3 linked regions of the Sus scrofa genome follow. Each later gene encodes a partner of the first gene's protein in a complex. Links are inferred from orthologs where the notes say so. Each region holds a gene or a part of one and is shown in the gene's direction. Other genes may lie near its edges. The genes, in order: ANP32A, NME1 and TREX1.

Region 1 (6,771 bases):
AAATAATTTTTTATTGCAAAAAAATTATTTGTCAACTTAAAAACTTAGAAAATACAGACTAAACCAAAAAAACACGGAGCCTCATCACCCATAGAGATCACATCACCTTTGTAAAACAAATTTTCTCAAACATTTTCTTTTTTATCGTGGGTACTCTCCTGGACTTTTCCTGGGTATATGAATATATTGTCTTTCTTTAGCTGTGAAAAGTGCTACCACACTATGATCAACATGTTTGTTATTTACCTGCTATTCTGCCTCATTTACAGCACTGCCTCTCCACATGAACACAGACAATAATGAATTGGTCCAGCCTGGTGAAAACTATTTGTCACCCTTACTCAAGTTGCCTTTGAATAAATATATGTAGAAGTGATATAATTCTCCCATGCAAGAAGGCATACAAAATGATTCCAGAGGACAGTGTTCCTCTGCTGCGTAAGTCTTCACATGGCTCTCACTTGGTCAAGTGCAGTGGATGTATAATTCTTACATTCAAGTTGCTAGGATTCAGAATTTTCAGAGAAAGTTTAGGGTATAAGTATACTTCCATAAGGGCCTAATATTTCCACTGGATTTAATATTAAAATTACTAATTTCTCAGAATGCATTAAATTGATCTCTAAGAAGAACTATAGAATATATATATATATCTTAATAATTACTTATAGGAACAAATAATAACTGCCATTAAAAGTAGGTAATCTGAGAGGACAATTTTACTCTGTATGCTTAAGCTTATAAACAGTATTTGCTGACAGTAAATATATTAAAAGTTCTTAGAAAGTCTGTTCTCTACCTCTTACATCTTAATAGACTTTAGTATAATACTCTTTTCTTCATAAACTTCAATGCCAGATAGATTAAAATGAACTAGTAGTTTTAAATTAATTGCATTTCTATTTTTTTTCCAACCTAGGATGCCCTCAGTCAGTCTTGCCCTATGGCTCCTCATTCCATTGCCTTTAAAACCTCTATTTTTTCCTTTATAACTATATTTTAAAACTAAAAATAAGAGCCTATCACTATGGTTTTTCTTCCTGGTGGATGGTAAACAGACTTTCCTCTTATTGCTTCCCCCAAATTACCTGTAATACATTTAAGAAACAGACTCACAAAATCTCTAGTGAGTTCCAAACAAGTGTGTAGACTATAGGGTTTGTTGTTTGGTTGTTTTTCTTTTCAAAATAAACTGTGAGTTGCTTCTCTGATTTTTTGCTATTAATTTAAAAAAATCACATACAATGATTATTTTTATCTGACAGTGCTTTTTCTCCATGACCAACACATTGATAAGGTAGTTATTCAATAATTTGAAAAATAAAATCATCCAATGCTTTATTAAGCAAAAGAATTAAGAATAGTTAACCTTTCAGATCCTGGACTTCAATATGCCTTTGCTATTCAAATCTCAATGCAGTAGTCTTCACGTTTGTTACCATGAATTTCAAAAGAATAATCTACATTTCTAAAAGCTATTTATATAGAAAGACAAAAGAGAACATAAATAAGCTGGAGTCTTTCCGTATCATTGTCTTTTGAGGTACAGGCAGCAGAACCATGATGGAGGTGAAAAGGTCCTATGGCCAGGTTCCAATGTATGTGATTCAAGCTGAAGAACAAAAGCTGAACGGTGAATACATTAACGCGACTCATAAAAGTATGCTAACCAGCGGGTCTCCATCTTTAGAGACCAAACAAGGGCAAATGAGTTTAAATGGTAGCAGCATCAATGTGGATTACTTATAAAACAGTACTTTCCAAAATGTATCAAGAGGCTAAGGATGCCCATTGCTCATACTTCTTAGAGAATAAGATAGGCTGGCTGCTCGTTTGTTTGGAGTGGTTCTTGAAGGAAATATTCTGGAAAGCAGTCAGATATCTTTCCTTACTTGAATGCCATCTTTCTCCCTAGGGGTTCAAACCTTTGAATTGTATCTCATTTATTCTTCTTAGTGTGAATCAAATCCAGTCCTGGAGGTTACAGACTACATTTTTTATAACCTTAACTCCCATTGTGGAATCACTTGAGAGTTAGGAACTCATCTTCTTCCCACTCCACATCAAAATTCAGCCAAGATTCCCTGACATGGAATTTATTCTTACTGTATCTCTGATATTCAAAGCCTTTCAAGGGCATTTATTTCCTTCAGTTTGCAATGAAATGGATTTAAGAAACAACTGGATAAAACAGGGAATATAAAGGCAATGTTCACTTGTTATTTTGATTTTCGATCAAGTAGCATGAGGCATATGGCACAGCTCTGGCTGAGCTATATTCCTATATCCTTTTGATAATAACAATTTCAAAAATCTAAATCACTAAAAATTTCTTGGGAATAAACTACAAACAAATCTATTTGTGAAAGTGAGAGAAAAATATCTTCTTTCAAAGTATGTTGGAAAGATGGTAAGTTTTCAATTAGCTATATACTGTTTGGATATTTCAACTTCTGTAATAATTGACATCCAGTGAAGCCTTTTTTTTTTTTTTTTTTTTTTTGCTTTGTAGGGCTGCACCCATGGCATATGAAACTTCTTGGGCTAGGGGTCTAATTGGAGATAAAGCTGCCAGCCACAGCCACAGCAAAAATCCGAGCCACATCTGCCACCTACACCATAGCTCATGGCAATGCTGGATCCTTAACCCACTGAGCAAGGCCAGGGATCAAACCCACAACGTCATGGTTTCTAGTGGGATTCGTTTCTGCTGTGCCATGACAGGAACTCCTAAGGAAGCCTCTTTCAGTTTTCCAAAACCAGTACAAAAGCTGTTATATCTAAAACAACTGTTTGACTAGTAATCAAGTCATGACTTTTTTGATTCTAACTTGTTCCTGGACACTCTTTTTAACCAAGATTTGGGCTTTATTCTCTCCAGTCTTTGTTCCATAAAGTGAGCTATTTGCTTCCGAATGGCAGAGCTGGATGGGGGACATCTTAGCATTTGATTGGTTGGCTTTTAAGGGATTACTTCTCTGGAAAGGCACTGTCCCATATTATCACATTGCTAGCAGTGTGGATTTAGTTGTGATCAAATTTTTAAATTGAAGATGAACATTTACCACCAAAGAGGACATAAACTTCATGACTCCTGTGTTATATAGATTCCTATACATCATATTGGTTTAATGTGTTTGTGATGAAGAGCTCTGTTTTAAAACAACCTTAAATACCACATCCAGAAATAGGAACTGACTCTGGCAAAGAGGTTATTCGGGGTCCCAATATGTTTAATAACGAAGTCAATACAATTTTAAAAAGAATAAATTCCAACTACACAAATGGACTTTAATAAGATTAACAAAACTGAGGAAGACTGATACGTCAATAAGTCAACAAGTATATATAACATACCCAGATGAAATAAAACAATGACTTCCCATTTTTATCTTGCATTTCCCAGCTACTTAAGAGTAAACATGATCACTTTTCAAATCCCACTTAATATTTTATCTGAAAGAAGAATTTACTGAGTAAAATGCTTAGCTTCAGGATCTCACATTTGCAATCCATCAGGTTACAATATTAGTTACCACTGTTTCTTCCCTCGGTGTAAGCATTCTATATGTGACTTTTACTTACATTCTGCCACTTTTTATTTCTTCCTAACTTTTATATGCTCAAGAATGAAACTGTATTGGTGTTACGTAACATCTCAAATTTGCAACATACATATTGGTGTATCTCACTTGAACCTACATCCCTGAAAAATAAACACAATGTATCCAAAAGAACTACCTCGGAGTGTATGAGGAGGAAGAGCGTAGCTGTGTAGAAATAAAAGAATGGAAAAACAGTTTTGTGGAGATGTATCTGTCCTTGTTGACAACAATCCCCATGATTTATTAACAGACACAGGCAGCCAACTTAGTACACAACAAGGTCCTAGCACGGAAGTTGGTAATCAAGTGGGAATTAAGGCTTTAAGGTCTCTTACAACCAATGTGATTCAAAAAAAATCCAAAGCAAGCAAACCGTACAACTTGGAGAAAGTGCTCCAAACAGAGCTTCTTTGGCAACCCAAATTGAACCAAATGACTCAGGTGGACGATTAAAATAAACTGTGCGCCGTTTTATTTCACCAGGTCAATAAAGCCCATAAATTATTTTTGGTCCAGAAAACCAGGAGTTACAAGCACCTTCCTTTTCATTTATTTAAAATATTCAATATATTCAGTATCAATTTTTAGTCCCTGCTCTTCATTCACTTATTGACTAAGATCCTGTGTGCCTTTTGGTGATCATTCCTTCCAAGCTAGTAAAACAGCAAACTGAAATGCCCCTCCATGCAGAGGGTCGAGACCGAGAGGTTAAGTCACCCAAAGGTGGACGCACCTTGCTTTTTATTTACTGAAGTATGCGAGGGACTACGATGGCCATGGCTGGACTACGACGAGGCGGGAGGCGAAGGGGCGCGCGGGCTGTGGGCTGTAGCTCAGGGGTTGGAACCCGCAAAAGAGATGGGGGCAGCAGCCACCCTCCACTAGCTCGGCCCAAAGGACCCAGAAAAAGACCACCCCTCCCCCCACTGCACCCTTGACCCCTCCCCCTCTTTCCAGGCCTTTCATCCGCCCGCCCGCGGGGCAGTCCGCTGCCCCCAGGCCTCGCACTGCCTGCCTCTTTCCACAACCCAGTGGAGGGGCGAGGGTAGGCCCAGGGCGACCCCGCGAAGCCCTCCGCCCGGCGAGAACCCCAACCCCCGGCCCCTCCGGCCGCGCCCCTCCCTTTCATATAACGCACCTGCGGCCCCGCCCCCGGCCAAACGCTGAGGCGGCTGCGGGGCTGGTGAGGCCGGGCGGCTTGGCCCTCCAGGCACAGTCACCTTCCCTTCCCCCGCCATTCCGCCCACCCCCCTAGCTCAGCAACCGAGCTGCCGCCGCGCTCCTCAGCCGCCCCGAAATCTAAAGGGGTCCGTCTCCGGTACCACAACCAAATGGCTGAGCCTCCCTGGCCGGCTGCGCAGCCCGCCCATTGGTCCCTTCCCCCCCGCCTCCGCCACCATTCGTTGTTGCCCGGAGACCCTCGGCGGCGATTGGCTAAGGCCGCTGCCACTCGTCCGCGGAGCCGCCGATCCCGCCTCCACGGTGATCAGGTTAGTGTGCGCCGCGGGTGCTGGGGGCTCGAGAACCGAGCGGAGCTGGTTGAGCCTTCAAAGTCCTAAAACGCGCGGCCGTGGGTTCGGGGTTTATTGATTGAATTCCGCCGGCGCGGGAGCCTCTGCAGAGAGAGAGCGCGAGAGATGGAGATGGACAAACGGATTCATTTAGAGCTGCGGAACAGGACGCCCTCTGATGTGAGCATTTGCCAAAAATATCTCTGTCGGTCCATTCTCCTACTTTGTGTGTGTGTGTGTGCGTTGGGGGGAGGCACTTTTTTTGGGGGGGGCGCCTAGGAGATGTGGGTTTGGGGGTCGGACTGCAAATGAATTGCAAGGTTGGGGGGTTGCAATGCCATCCGATCATTTTCTGGCTGTCGCCGCCGCTGCCCTTGGTGTGTGACTACCTGTGCGTGTGCTCCCGCGTGTGCGAGTGTGGGTGCGAGAGTGTGCGTGCGAGTGTGCACCCATCGGGGGCCAGCGGGCGCACGCGTTTGGGTCGGAGAGAATGAGGCAGAATAACCCTCTGAGCTCGCTGCTCGCGTGACTCCGTCTAGGGGAAAGATTAACGAGGGAGGAGGAGGAGAGGGGCTGCCTCCTGGATTTAACAACAAAAAAAGGGGGTTTTATATTTTATAAATGAATCCCCCCTTCCTCCCCCCTCCCGCGCCTTCCCCCTCCCTTTCTCCCTCTCTCTCCGTCTCTCTCTCTCTCTCTCTCGCTCGCACACACACAATAAGTTTTGGGCTTCGCGAGTCCGGTTTAGTTTCTGATAAATGTGGGCCGAGGCCCCTGGGGAGAGCGCATGGGGAGGGGGCTGCAGCGGAGTTGGGAATGGCTCGAGTTTAAAGTGCGTCTTCATTTCTTTGCAGTGATGAGGCGAGAGACGGGGGAGCCATATTTGTAACTTTGTAGTGTTCGTGAACGCGCCCTTTCTCTCCCTCCCTCCCTTTCTCTGCCTCCTTTCCTCTCCTCCTCTTTCTCCCTCACTCTTTCCACCCCACCTTCGGGCCAGATGCTGATGTTTCTTCCTTTCCTTCTGAAGGGAAGATAAATTGGAAGAAGGGGGGGGAGGGATTTTCGAACGTGCAAAGGCACAGATAATCCCCGCGCCTCCCCACCTCGCGCGATCGCTACTGCAAGTTACCCAAAGGCTAAGTCCAGGTCCTCCCTCTCCCCCTTGCTCCTTCCAGCCTCCCTAAGGTGCCAGCCTTCGAGCCGTGGCGCCCCCCGGCACCGACCCCTGGCCTGTCTTGTCTCTAGGGTGGGCTCCTTGGCAGCCATTCGGCGACGGGTTAATAAATGGGCCCGGGAAACTTTGTCAGGACGCGAGCTGCCCAGAGCTGGTGCCCGTGGTGGGTATTGGCTGGGTCCAGATTTATGCGGGCATAACAGACACGCAGCTCCGGGATGGGAGTTTGCCTTCCCGTCGCCGTTATTGATTGGGCAGAGGCGCGAGTACGGCCAGAGGAAACTTACACGGATGGGAACCCGGAGGCTCTGGCCAAAGCCCACCCCTAAGGAGGGGAAAGGTGAGGGTGGGTTACTCGAACGAACACCCGTTTTTATTTCTGTCTCCCTCTCGCTTTCAGTGTTTTATGTGAGTTGGCGGCTCAGCGGAGGAGACCCAGGGTCTGGGGTGGAGACGCTGGCCGACTGCCCTCGTGGCACCT
Region 2 (6,703 bases), on another chromosome or scaffold:
GTGACCTTTCTATGACTATAGCTTGGGAGACAGACTCTCAGATAGCTCTAAGGAACTGTTCCAAAGAAGTAAGAGAGAAGTCAGGATATTCAGATTTTACTGAGAAAACAAACAAACAAACCATAAAACATGTTAGTGGAGTTCCCTTGCGGCACAGTAGATTAAGGATCCAGCATTATCATTGCAGCAGTTCAAGTTGCTACTGTGGCTTGGGCTCCATCCCTGGCCTAGGAACCTCAACATGCCCTGGGCATGGCTGAAAAAAAATGTTAGTGGAACATCAAAAGATTATTGCTAATTTCAAAACGTAGATGCATATGCATTGAGAACACAACAACAATCAAAATGCTCATTGAAATTATTCCTTTGAGGATTTCCTGTTGTGGCTCAGCAGTAACGAACCTGACTAGAAACCATGAGTAAGCAGTTTTGATCCCTGGCCTTACTTAATGGGTTAAGGATCTGACGTTGCCAAGAGCTGTCATGTAGGTTGAAGACAGACTCAGCTTGGATCCCAAGTTGCTGTGGCTGTGGCTTAGGCCAGCAGCTGCATCTCTGATTTGACTCGTAGCCTGGGAACTTCCATATGCTGCAGGTGTGACCCTAACCAAAAAAAAAAAAAAAAAAAAAAAAAGAAGAAGAAAGAAAGAAATTATTCCTTTGACATGCATCTTTATCTAGGGCCAGTATACTATTTTTCTCTTCAGGGTGCACCTTTGGGGAGGCTGCAGTGGCTGATGGCTTGATGACAGGCCATATTCTTTGTTTACTGAAATGGCAGGCATAGTTTTTTTGTTTTGTTTTGTTTTTTTGCTTTTTAGGGCTACACCTTCGGCATATGTAAGTTCCCACGCTTGTGGTTGAATCAGAGCTGCAGCTGCTGGCCTACACCACAGTCACAGCCACAGCCAAGGCCAAGCCAGATCTGAGCTGTGTCTGTCACCTACACCACAGTTCACGGCAATGCTGGATCCTTAACCCACTGAGCCAGGATAGGGATTGAACCCATATCCTCATGGATACTAGTTAGGTTTGTAATTCTCTGAGCCGCCACCTGTTTTGTTTTGGGGGTTTTTGGGTTGCACCCGGGGCATGTGGAAGTTCTCTGAGCTCGGGATCAAATCCATGCCACCGCAGCTACCCAATCTGCTGCAGTGACAATGCTGTATCCTTAACCTGCTGTGCTACAAGGGAACTCCTATCCACATAGTTTTACACTTACAAATCTATAATCCCTCTGGAGTGATTTTCTTTCAAAGTGGGAGGTTTAGGTGGAGGTTTTTTCTTTCCTTCCTTCCTTTCTTCTTACTTTCTTTCTGCCTATAGGTGCTCCAGCACATTTTTTGAAAAGGCTCCTGATTCTATCCTGTACTTTACCACAGCCATTCCTCCTGCAGCAGGCAATGATTTTTTTTTTTAAATGTATCAGATGATATCATGCCCTGCTCAAAATTCTCCAATGGCTTCCCACCACATCATAATCTTGCTGCTCTCCAGTTGCATTTTCTAGCACTTAATGTCCACTGGCTCTCAGGTAATCTGACTTCAGCAGGTCTATTCTACTGTCACCCCCTGAGAGAGCACACCAGTCAACATTTAAAGTACTCCTTTACCCTACCCCCTCGCTGTGCTTTTTCTCAGTAATATTTACATACTATGATATATTACATGTTAATTTGCTCATTTGTTTATTGTTTGTCTTTATTCCCAACCCCACGAGAAGTTCCAAGAAAGTTTACTGCTATACCCCAGACTCTGAAACAATATCTGACACATAGAAGGTACTCAATAAATAATTTGCTTGACAGGCTGGAAAGAATGAGCAAATGTAAAACGAGGACACTGACTACTTCTAGGTCAGGCGCTAGTTCAGTTTTCACGCAAAGTGTGAGCGCCACCTCTCGGGAAGCCAGTTTGCTCGCGAAAGAAGGAAGTGAGTCACAGATCTTAAAGGGAAAAAAAAGATGGCTGCAGCGTGCGAGAAGAATAGGGAGAAGCCGTACCGGAAGTTGAACTTCAGGAAGTTGCTCCCTTGAACGATATCCGACTGTCGGGAGGAAGCGTAGGCGAGTGGTGTTCTGCAAAATGGGCTCTCCTGCAGCCGATTATGCGCAGAAGCGTTCCGCGCGAGCGGGTGCTAGGAACCACGAGGAGCTGGGGCGTGTTTCCGGTGCGGGTGACAGGCGACGGAGTTGAAGCCCAAGTGCCCGGAGGGGTGAGAAGGGTTCGAGGTCCTGAGAGAAAAGGGAGAAGAGTGGGGTCCAGGGAGGGGGAGGTGAAGAGGTCGGGTAAGTTCCACTCGGAGAAGTGGCCAGGGGGATCGGGTGGGAGGGACGCACCCATTGACAGGTGCAAACCTGTCAGCTCACGTCCCGCGCCACGTGGACTCGGCTTTGTCCGTGGCTGCTTTTCCCATCAGTCCGTGACTGTAAGGGTTGTGCCTTATTTGTTTATATCGAGTGCAGTGCTCAGTGCTTACTGAATGAATGACAGATATGTATCAAGAGTGGGTGTGGGGAACACGTATAGGGACTGCTGTTTGTGGCTCTTTAGCCCCATGTTCTCCTAGGGAATTCATGCTTGTCTGTAGCTTCTATTAGGAGTTCTCCGCCAGTTCTTGGGCCTTGTCTCTTTTTCTTGGAGGTGCAGGGCGGTTATCATTTAAGACATTTTCTTTGCTCTTATTGAGTACTAGGCTCTGTAACTAGGTACTAGGGAAGTAAATCATCTCTGTATTCAGGGGCAGGCCTGTGAGAAATAAACAGAAAATTCACATATATTGTTAAGGTGTTGTAATAAAAGGCCAACTAAATTATAGGAAGGTAGAGCCAGGAGGTGGTGCTGCTATCCACATAGGGATTGTCTTTCAAGGTGAGGGGACTCCTTTGTCATCTTGTGGAGGCAGAGCAGGTCCTGAGTTGAGACTTCTTATCTGTAAAAGGAAGAGTCTGAAGTAGGTGGTCTCTAGGCTTTCTTCCAACAGATATTACTCATGGCTACAGTTCTCCCACAATCCACCATTTATTGGTTAGTCAGAATATTCATTAATCTTGTGATGTAGCATAAGCTGCAGAGGGTTGGGAAATCTGGATTGTGACCCTCCTTCTGGTACTCCAGATGTGTTTCCTCATTTGTAAAAGAAAAGATTGTAATGAAATAATCTCTAAACTCCTTCCTGTTATAGCATGCTGAGGTAGTAGGTCAAACTGTATTTCATACTGCCTTGTTTTAGACATCACTCACATATTATCACTGTAGTTTCCCTCATCTGGATAATCCAGAAAGATATTCTTTTCTTTTTCTCTTAATACTTCTTGTCTCAGTTCTGCCATAGTATTGGGTACCCAGTAGATGCTTATGTTAGTCCCCATTGTGGCTCAGTGGCTTAAGAAGCCGACTAGTGTCTGTAAGGATGCAGGTTCGATCCCTGGCCTCACTCAGTGGGTTAAGGATACACATTGCCACAAGCTGCAGCGTAGGTCACAGATGCAGCGTGGATCTGGTGTGGCTGTGGCTGTGGTGTAGGCCTGCAGCTGCACTCTGATTCTACCTCTAGCCTTTCTGTATGCTAGAAGGGTGGGTACAGCCCTAAAAATAAAAACAAAAACAAAAAACTGGCTTCTGCACACAAAGGCAAGGAGAGACTGAAGAAAGGCAGACCACTCCAGATTATAGGTGGCAGTTATAATGACCAAGGGAGCTTGAGGTGGCTGCTGTCACCTACCAGAATTTTAAAAGTTATGCATAGAGTCTTTAAATGGGTTTAGTCATCTATTCAGTCCAGATGGTCTCAACAACACTTTACTCTCTCAAGGCTATGTTTTGTCCTTCGAACAGCCCCTACTATGGGGACAGTAGGCAGAGTGTACCTTTCAAAAACAGAGGTGAGGAGCCTCTAGTTGCCTGGGGACGTATTCTCTCCATGACCTCCTCCAATACTCCACCCCTTGCAACTAGCTCTCACAATCTCATCCCCACTCCCCAGATGCATTGTGCCCTGAGAGATCAGCAAAGGGTGGAGGCGGCTCATTTGGCAGCCATCTGATTGCAGTGGAGGCAGATGTCAGAGCAGCATTATAGAGGCATGTGTAAGAGACGCATGGATTAAGACGATTCCCTAAATAATAACAATTTTCTCCTCCAGGAGCCTCATCATCTGAACCATTGATTTACTAAATCCCTTTGTCAGGCAGTAATAATGTCCTGCTTTGGAGGACAGCTTTTGCCATTAAAGATAAAGTGTTCCATAAAGACAGGTTTTGCAGGCTAGTATTTAAGGCTTGCTGGGTGAATTTAGTAAGGGCTTCTCTCTGTGCTATAATGCCCGTCAGGCCAAAGGAGGGGACAAAAATGGTGGCTAAATGATTGTTCCAGTGGGAAACCGAATGTGCCCATCTGGCCTGGAGGAGAGGGAGGTTGGCAGCTCTAGGAACTTGACCTAGTTATGTATGCTATACATGTTGGCCAGGGCAGGCAGCCCTGTCTGGCATGAGGAGATGGAGTAGGCGTGGGATATGCCAGACCAGGACCCCTTCCTTCTCCCCTCTTCAGAGGTGCATGTTCCCTTCCAGGTATAGCACATCTCAACAGGCCAGCTTGTGGCAGGGCTGCAGCCTCCCAGTGGAAACTGAGTAATTCCCCCTCACCCAGGGGTGGGGCTTAGTGTTCTCAGCAGCACAGTCCATTGATCCACAGAGAGAGCTGTTTCCCAAGACATTGGGTATCTTGGCAGGGGTCTCTCGTCTGGCATAAAAGGCCACAAGTTCTACTGGTTCATCATTCAAATGTATCAAAGTCTGGGACAGTACTTCAGTCCACCTGGCCAGGGTGGTTTTACTTTTTAGTACTTTATTTATTTATTTATTTATTGTCTTTTTGCCCTTTTCTAGGGCTGCTCCCGCGGCATATGGAGGTTCCCAGGTTAGGGGTCGAATTGGAGCTGTAGCTGCCGGCCTACGCCAGAGCCACAGCAACACGGGATCTGAGGCGAGTCTGCAACCTACATCACAGCTCACGGCAACACTGGATCCTTAACCCACTGAGCAAGGCCAGGGATCGAACCTGCAACCTCATGGTTCCTAGTTGGATTTGTTAACCCTTGAGCCTCGACAGGAACTCCAATTTGTTAGTACTTTAATCTGCTGTTTTACTATTTCATTTTTCTTTCCTGACTGTGGGTCATAGGGGAGATGGGACTTCATTTAATGTCATATTCTTTTCTTTTTTCTTTCTTTTTTTTTTTGCTTTTCAGGGCCACACCCTCAGCATATGGAGGTTCCCAGGCTAGGGGTCTAATCGGAACTGTAGCTGCTAGCCTATGCCACAGGCACAGCCATGCAAGATCCAAGCCATGTCTGTGACCTACACCACAGCTCACAGCAGTGCCAGATCCTTAACCCACTGAGCGAGGTCAGGGATCGAACCTGAAACCTCACGGTTCCTAGTCGGATTCGTTTCCACTGCGCCATGACGGGAACTCCAATGTCATGTTCTTTTGCCCAGTTTTGTACCTCATGACCTTTGAAAGTAACCCACAATTACTGTCTATTCAATAAGGTATCCATACAGGATCTCAGCTACTCTAATCCCATAATGGTGGCAGCCTGGTTTGTGAGGTGACAAGGGAAAGCTTGGGTTAGGCTAGATGCGGTGTCCACACAAACCAAGGCATATTTAGAAGCTTCACCTGGAGGGAGGGGCCAATATAATCAATTTACCAATTCCACACCCATTGGGAGCCCTGGTCAGTGGTCCCAGACTCTTGGCCGTAGTCTTCAATGTTGTTTAGAACACACAGGGCGGGAGTTCCCGTTGTGGCACAGCAGAAAGAATCTGGCTGGGATCCATGAGGTTGCGGGTTCAATCCCTGGCCTCGTTCAGTGGGTTAAGGATCTGGCATTGCCATGAGCTGTGGTGTAGGTTGCAGACTCGCCTCTGCTCCCTTGTTGCTGTGGCTGTGGCATAGGCTGGCGGCCACAGCTCTGATTTGAGCCCTAGCCTGGGAACCTCCATGTGCCGCTAGCACAGCCCTAAAACAAGCCAAAAAAAAAAAGAAGAAGAAGAAGAACACACAAGGCTTTCTCTGATGGTGGCTCAGTAGGTTAAAGATCCAGCATTGTCACTGCAGTGGCTTGGGTTGCTACTGTGGTGCAGGTTCAGTCCCTGGCCTGGGAACTTTCACAAGACATAGGCATGGCCAAAACAAGAAAAAAAGAACACAAAGGACATGCTGTTACTGCATTAATCGAGTCGCTGTATTTCAAGGGCCACCCAGCATCCTTGGTAATATGTCGTCCTCCCCGGGCACTTCAGTGTTCCCTCCTCCTCTGCACCCAGTTTGCTATATCTACTGAAGGGTCCATTGCTAGGACTCATTTCTTTTTTTTTTTTTTTTTTTGTCTTTTTGCCTTTTCTAAGGCCGCTCCCGCAGCATATGGAGGTTCCCAGGCTAAGGGTCTAATCGGAGCTGTAGCTGCCAGCCTACGCCAGAGCCACAGCAACGCAGAATCCGGGCCCTGTCTGCAAACTACACCACAGCTCACTGCAACACCAGATCCTTAACCCACTGAGCAAGGCCAGGGATCGAACCCACAACCTCATGGTTCCTAGTCAGATTTGTTTCCCACTGAGCCATGACGGGAACTCCCAACTAGGACTCATTTCTGGTCTAGGGCAGCAGCTTCCTGATTGCCAGAGGATGTCA
Region 3 (6,806 bases), on another chromosome or scaffold:
TTGTCAAAAGCTTTTGCTGCATGTTGAGATGACCGTATGGTTTTTATTCTTCAATTTGTTAGTGTGGTATATCACACTGATTGATTTATGGATACTGAAGAATCCTTGCATCCCTAGGATAAATCCCACTTGATTATAGTGTATGGTCCTTTTAATGAATTGTTGGATTAGGTTTGAGGATTTTTGCATTGATGTTCATCAATGATATTGGCCTATAATTTTCTTTTTTTGTAGTATTTTTGTCTGGTTTTGGTCTTGGGGTGACGGTGGTCTCATACAATGAATTTGTAAGTGTTCCTTCCTCTACAATTTTTTGGAATAGTTTCAGAAGATGTACATGTTAACTCTTCTCTAAATGTTTGATAGAATCCACTGTGAAAGCCATCTGGTCCTGGACTTTTGTTGGGAGTTTTTTTTCTTTTTTAAAATATATATTTTTTTCTTTTTAGGGCCACACCTGTGGCATTTGGAAGTTCCTGGGCTAGGGGTCAAATTGGAGTTGCGAGCTGCAGCTGCCACCCTACACCACAGCCACAGCTACACCGGATGCAAGCCACATCTGCAATCTACACACAGCTTGCAGCAATGCCTGATCCTTAGCAAAATGAGTGAGGCCAGGGTTCAAACCCCTACCCTCACAGAGACTGTGTTGGGTACTTAACCCGCTGAGCCACAAAGGGAACTCCTGCTGGGAGTTTCTTAATCACAGATTCAATTTCAGTACTTGCCTTTGTATGCCAGCAGTACACTCCCCTCTTGTTACCCAGGGGCCAGGGACCAGCTAGTCCCAGGGTAGGTTCTGACCTGTTTGCAGACTCAGTTCTGCAGGATGCAGGATCATATTTTCTTGTTTAGAGTGTCTGCCTCCAGGTGAGTGAAGCTTATCTAGAGGCTTGTGCAGGCTTCCCCATGGGAGTGCAGCTCCTGATGGGTGGAGCTGGGTCTTGGCCCTCAGGTGGGGCAGGGCTTTGTCAAGGGGTGTGTCTAGAGGTGGCTGTGGGCCCAGGAAGTCTTTTTTTTTTTTTTTTGGCTACCCTGAGGCATACGAAGTTCCCAGACCAAGGACCAGATCTGAGCAACAGTGGTGACCAATACCGCAGTTGCAGCAATCTGGATCCTTTAACCCACTGTGCAGGGCCAGGGATCAAATCTGTGTCCTGGCACTGGAGAGACACCACCAACCCCATTGCACCACAGTGGGAACTCCTCAGAAAGTCTTTAGGCAGCCTGTCTACTAATGGGTGGGGCTGCATTCCCAGGCGGTGGGTTGGCTAGCCTCATAAGATCCAGCCATAGCCAAGGCTCCATCACTGCTGAAGCCTGGCTCATTCTTTGGTGGTATCCCAGGACATTTCTCTCACACCCAAGTTAAGACCTGCCTCCTATTTGGGAGCAGAGCCTCCCAGGAGCAATATGGAGGCCAGGCACCCCAGGTCCAAGGAGGCATCCTGAAATACAAATGCTGGACAGCACTGTCAGCTAAGGACCTGTCATCTCCAAGCCACAGCAGTCCTGCAGTGGAGGGTGGTACCCACTTGGTCACATAAAATGAGTATCCGCAAGTAGGCTGCCATTTGAACCCAGATCTTTCTGAATCAAGTTTTCTCTTTGCACTGGCCTCTTGGAAGTTCCTGTTAACCTCCAGTAAAAAGTGAGGGTGAGTTATGGGAGTGGGTCGGAGGTGTCACATCTCTCTGGGCCCGTTTCAGGTTCCAGTGCGTGTTCCGGGTGCTGCCCCAGTGCCTGCGCCCAGAGACACCCCTGCCTGGTGTGCTACTGACTGTTGAGCTCCTGTCCCTCCTGGCGGACCATGAGAAGCTCGCCCCTCAGCTCTGTTCCCACTCAGGTAAAAGTAGGCCTGGGGTGTACGTCTAGGCTGCTCCTGCAAGTTGCAGTGAAGGGTGGTGGCAGGGACAGGTCAGGGGCCTCCTGAGGGCTTCTGCAGCTTGTACCCAGGTGCTGGGTAGGGAGGGGAACCCTGAATGACAGGTGGGACATCCTTTCCAGAAGGCTGCCTCCTCCTCCTCCTGTACATGTACATCACGTCAAGGCCTGACAAAGCAGCCTCGGAGACACAGTGGCTTCAGCTGGAACAAGAGGTAAAACTACTAGAGCCCCTTCTGTGGCCTGCTCACCACCCCACTCCAGAGCCACTTTTCCTCCTTCTGGGAACAAAGGGAGCTTTAATTCATTTTGGTAATGAGTTCAGCCACTAACAAGGTAAACTCACTTGGGGAGCTCCATACAACACAGATCCAGTACAGGCGGACTTCTGGGGATCCTGGGACTTAGCAGGGTTGCCTGATAACTGATGCTCCCCTGGTTTGGGGGCCTGGTGGCTGGAGGTAGCCTGGAACGAGGTGGGTCACTGGTGAGACACAGGTGTTGGCAAGCCTCTCCTGGGAAGGCCTCACAATACTACCACCTCTAGGATCCTTAGTGCAGAGGAGCAGTTGCTGAGACAACCGGAGCTCTTAGAGAAGCTTGAGAAAGCTCTCACTGACCAAGGTCCTGTTCTGCCATGGATGGAACAGAATCTCTTCCTGTTCTAGGCCGTGTGGCTCCTGGCTAAGCTTGGTGTCCAGAGCCCCTCTTCCCCAGTTACCGGCTCCAGCTGTCAGTGCAACGTGGAGGTGAGTGCCAGGGACAAGCAGGGGCAACAGCGGTTGGCTCTGTTGGTGGGTGAGGGGGCCCCGCGCAAGGATCTGTGCTCTTCCCCAGGATTAGAGCACCGCTCAGAACCTTCCTCACCTGGGGGGCAAGGAAAGGGGCTGCCCAGCTGAGCAGGTTGTTAGGGCACAGCGACCAGAAGGCCTGACCTCAGCCTGCCCCTGTCCCAGGTGGTCAGAGCACTCACCGTGATGCTGCACAGACAGTGGCTGACGGTGCAGAGGGCGGGGGCGCTCCCGAGGACTGACCAGCAGAAGCGGACAGTGCGGTGTCTGCGGGACACAGTGCTGCTGCTGCACAGCCTGTCCCAGAAGGACAAGCTCTTCACTGTGCACTGCGTGGAGGTCCTGCATCAGTACGACCAGGTGATGCCAGGGGTCAGCTTGCTGATTCGAGGGCTTCCTGACGTGACAGACTGTGAAGGTGAGCCGGCAAGACGGCCCCTCCCTGCCCAGCCCACGTTTGGGGTTTGCCCTGGAGTCTATGGGCAGGTCAGCCCTCCCCACCTTAGGTCAGCAGCCCTCCGTGCTCACGGCCTTTGCCAGCACTGGGGCCATTCTTGTCTTCCTGCTCCGGTTCTTCTCTGAGTATTATCAGCCTGCCTTTTGCTCCTATCTGTTGAATCAGCCTGGCAGAACCACGGTTTTTCCAGAAACATCCCTGTCTGAATTGCCTTTGTATCACTTTGCTTGCAGTAGCTGAGGGAGCAAGGCCTGGGCATGGAAGGGACTGGTTAGTTCCTGTGGGCCTGGGTGTGGGAGGAGAGGTGGACTTGCTGCAGTCCCAGCGCCTTTAGGCCTTGGCCACAGAACCTTCTTCTCTTTTGGCTCAGAGGCAGCCCTGGATGACCTCTGCGCCACAGAGCCCGATGTGGACGACCCTGAGATGGACTGTGGCTGAGGCCGGGTGAACATCGAGCCACATGGTGGCACCAGCGCCACTCATTTCCTTACCTCATCCACTGATTAAAAGCAGTGACTGGCTGTTTGAGAACATACCAGCCTTTGTTTCCTGAGTCTGATGTGTGTCAGCTGATTGGGAGGGACAGAGTAGGAGCGGGATCCAAGGAAACTGGGATCCTTCTTACTGTCCCTGGAGGGAGCTGAGATCCAGCCCCTTGGTGATGAATCTGCTCTGAGGAAGCAGCCCTGCTCTGCCCTGCCTGTGGAATTGCCCTGAGTCATCGCATTGGGCTGAGGCCATGGTTAGAAACCATTGTGTGGCAGAGAAGGAGGCAGCCCTTCAGCCCAGGCCTAAACCAGGGAGGCCTGGGAAAGTGGGGCCAAGGGGTGGGTACAAACGCCATGGCAGGGGCTCCCGGCAGGCTTGAGTCCTGGAGCTCGCCTTCCCGGATAGCCCTGTCCCCTGCTGTCCAGGGGTCCTGGTGCACTGTGCCAGACAGAGATCTGAGAAGGCCTTTGAGGCAGTACTGTGGGTGCCTGGGGAGGGAACGGGTGTTGGCAAGAGGGACAGCCCAGCAGGCTGACGAGCAGGGGCGGGCTTTGCTCACACCAGCTCCTGGGCGGGCTCAGGCCCAGTTTCACTTCCCGCCACTGCTGCCAGCAGCAAGAACCAGCCAGAGAGCATTCACCCTGAGTCATTGCTGCCTGCCTGCTGTTCGGTGAGGACCCCCAAGGGGATGGGGTAGGGTGGGAGGGCTGTGGGTACCTGCTCCCCCACACACACCAGGCTAAGTGGGTTCTAGGGGAGGAGCCAAACCTTCCCCTGATCAGATAGCTGAGTATGCTGATCCCACAAAGGAAGCCACCGCACCTTCTCTGGCTTCCTGCCCACCCACCCCCTACCCTCCTTTCCTCTTATCACTGGGCACTCACCCTCCCCACCCCCACCCCATGCTCCTCCCCAGGCTCAGCGCCAGATACCTACCATGGGCTCGCAGGCCCTGCCCCAGGCTCCCGTGCAGACCCTCATCTTCTTGGACCTGGAGGCCACTGGCCTGCCCTTCTCCCAGCCCAAGGTCACGGAGCTATGCCTGCTAGCTGTCCATAGATGTGCCCTGGAGAGCCTTCCCATCCCACAGGGGCCTTCTCCCACGGTGCCACCGCCACCTCGGGTGCTGGACAAGCTCTCCCTGTGCGTGGCTCCAGGGAAGGCCTGCAGCCCTGCAGCCAGCGAGATCACTGGCCTGAGCACAGCTGTACTGGCTGCACATGGGCGTCAGTACTTCGATGCCAACCTGGCCAATCTCCTCCGAGCCTTCCTGCAGCGCCAGCCACAGCCCTCGTGCCTCGTGGCACACAACGGTGACCGCTACGACTTCCCCCTGCTCCAGGCAGAGCTGGCCATGCTGGGCCTTGCCAGTGCTTTGGATGACACCTTCTGTGTGGATAGTATTGCAGCCTTGAAGGCCCTGGAGCAAGCTGACGGCTCCTCGGAGCACGGCCCAAGGAAGAGCTACAGTCTGGGCAGCATCTATACACGCCTGTATGGCCAGGCTCCACCAGACTCACACACGGCTGAGGGTGATGTCCTAGCCCTGCTCAGCATCTGTCAGTGGAGGCCACGGGCCTTGCTACGGTGGGTAGATGTTCATGCCAGGCCTTTCAGCACCGTCAAGCCGATGTACGTGGTCACAGCCTCTACTGGAACCAACCCAAGGCCATCTGCTGCCAAGGCCACTGTACTCCTGGCCAAAGCCAGGAACACCAGCCCCAACCTTGGTGGGGACAGAAGCCCCAAGCCCCTTTCTCCAATGAAGAGCCCTGGAACCCCACCCAGGGAGGGACTGCTGGCCCCACTGGGCCTGCTGGCCTTCCTGACCTTGGCAGTAGCCACACTGTATGGGCTGTCCATAGCCATACCTGGGCATTAGGCCAAGGAAGGGCTGACTAATAAAGACCCTCTCACAGCGCTGAGTGATCACTCACCTCTATGCTCCGTGGCAGCCTTAGAGCCTCCTGCACTTCTGCCCACACTCAGAGACCTGGGGCCAGGACACAGAAAGTGGCAGTCCTTGTTATCACCCTTCATAGCAGGATGATGAGACGTCTGAGCCCAATAAAAGTGAGGGAAATGAACTCCAAATATTGGATGGAAATGGTTGGTACCTGGCCTAATACACAATCCCAGCAGCCAAGGCCACAAAACAGGGGGACAGCAGATCCAAATACTTGCATTTATTATAAACAAGGGTGCAGACTCTAGATTCTCAAAAACACACGAACAGGTACAAAGCTACAATGTGGTAAGACATTATAGAGGAGAGGGAACACCGAGGTATTGTGTCTGGGCCAAAGCAGCCACCCAGGGCCCCTTCCACCTTTGGTCCAGATGACCCCTTGGCCCAGGTGTCCCCACTGCCAGGACAGACTGTGGACTGGGGTACAGGAGCTGGACAGTCTGTGAGGCTGGTGCTGGGGAAGCAGGGGCTATCACGCTAGACAGTCTCTCTCCTCTGGGGCAATTTCTCTCTAGGACCCAGGGGTTTCAGCCTCACAGCAATTATAACACACACTTTGAAACAAAGCAGGTAAAATGTTTAGCTCAAAAAACACTGCAGGGATGACACCTGAGTGTGTAGGTAGACAGAGGCCAGCCTGTGCATCTGTGGCGGGAGTCAGGGCAGCCAGAACCATGGGTAAATGTGGCTTTCCAGGTGGTCCCAGGAAGGATGCAAGAGTCCAGGCAGAGAGTGCTCGAGGGAGGGTGCGGCTCTGCCTGAGATGTTTTGATATCAGGAGGCTGCCCTCCCTCCAATGGGCAAGGCACAGGCTGTGGGAGCTGTGGGCTGTCTGCCACAAGGGTTGAAACCCACCTCTGGCTGGCTCCCAAGCCTCACCTCACCCACTTTGCATCACGGCTCTGGTTCTTTGAAGGCAAGTCTGGGGACAAGCCATGGCCTTGAGCAGTGGCCAGCATTCCTCAGAAACTGGAACACGGGTGCACTGTGCCCACAAAAAGCTGTGCTATCCTAGTGTGACAACCCCCATTTGGCCTCCCTGGGCTGTCTGGAAGAGAACCATTCTTTCAGTTTTGCTTGAGATTTCAGAAGCATAATTTCAAGTCAGGAAGGGAACAAGCTATGGTCCCAATTAACTCTGGGAAGGATTGTCCCCCACCCCTCACAAGAAACTTCGTGTACAAATAGGACACACACACCACGCACGGGAAGAAAC

What was found.
Region 2: ANP32A (region 1) and NME1 share a complex: the UniProt entries of both Homo sapiens proteins name them as parts of the SET complex. The link is inferred for Sus scrofa from reciprocal best matches to the Homo sapiens genes ANP32A and NME1.
Region 3: ANP32A (region 1) and TREX1 share a complex: the UniProt entries of both Homo sapiens proteins name them as parts of the SET complex. The link is inferred for Sus scrofa from reciprocal best matches to the Homo sapiens genes ANP32A and TREX1.

Annotation. Positions count from the first base shown.
Region 1 is NC_010443.5:166,699,555-166,706,325, reverse strand, and holds the start of ANP32A (acidic leucine-rich nuclear phosphoprotein 32 family member A), read left to right. Parts: upstream 1-2,511; 5' UTR 2,512-5,242; coding exon 5,243-5,296; intron 5,297-6,771. UniProt on the Homo sapiens protein: Multifunctional protein that is involved in the regulation of many processes including tumor suppression, apoptosis, cell cycle progression or transcription. Promotes apoptosis by favouring the activation of caspase-9/CASP9 and allowing apoptosome formation.
Region 2 is NC_010454.4:27,414,242-27,420,944, forward strand, and holds the start of NME1 (nucleoside diphosphate kinase A), read left to right. Parts: upstream 1-2,195; 5' UTR 2,196-2,288; intron 2,289-6,703. UniProt on the Homo sapiens protein: Major role in the synthesis of nucleoside triphosphates other than ATP. The ATP gamma phosphate is transferred to the NDP beta phosphate via a ping-pong mechanism, using a phosphorylated active-site intermediate.
Region 3 is NC_010455.5:31,175,052-31,181,857, forward strand, and holds TREX1 (three-prime repair exonuclease 1), read left to right. Parts: upstream 1-2,633; intron 2,634-2,840; coding exon of another isoform or gene 2,841-3,093; 5' UTR 3,094-3,502; coding exon of another isoform or gene 3,503-3,570; 5' UTR 3,571-4,558; coding exon 4,559-5,503; 3' UTR 5,504-5,713; downstream 5,714-6,806. Other genes in the region: ATRIP (ATR-interacting protein), read left to right, coding at 1,710-1,846, 2,008-2,099, 2,553-2,633, 2,841-3,093, 3,503-3,570. UniProt on the Homo sapiens protein: Major cellular 3'-to-5' DNA exonuclease which digests single-stranded DNA (ssDNA) and double-stranded DNA (dsDNA) with mismatched 3' termini. Prevents cell-intrinsic initiation of autoimmunity.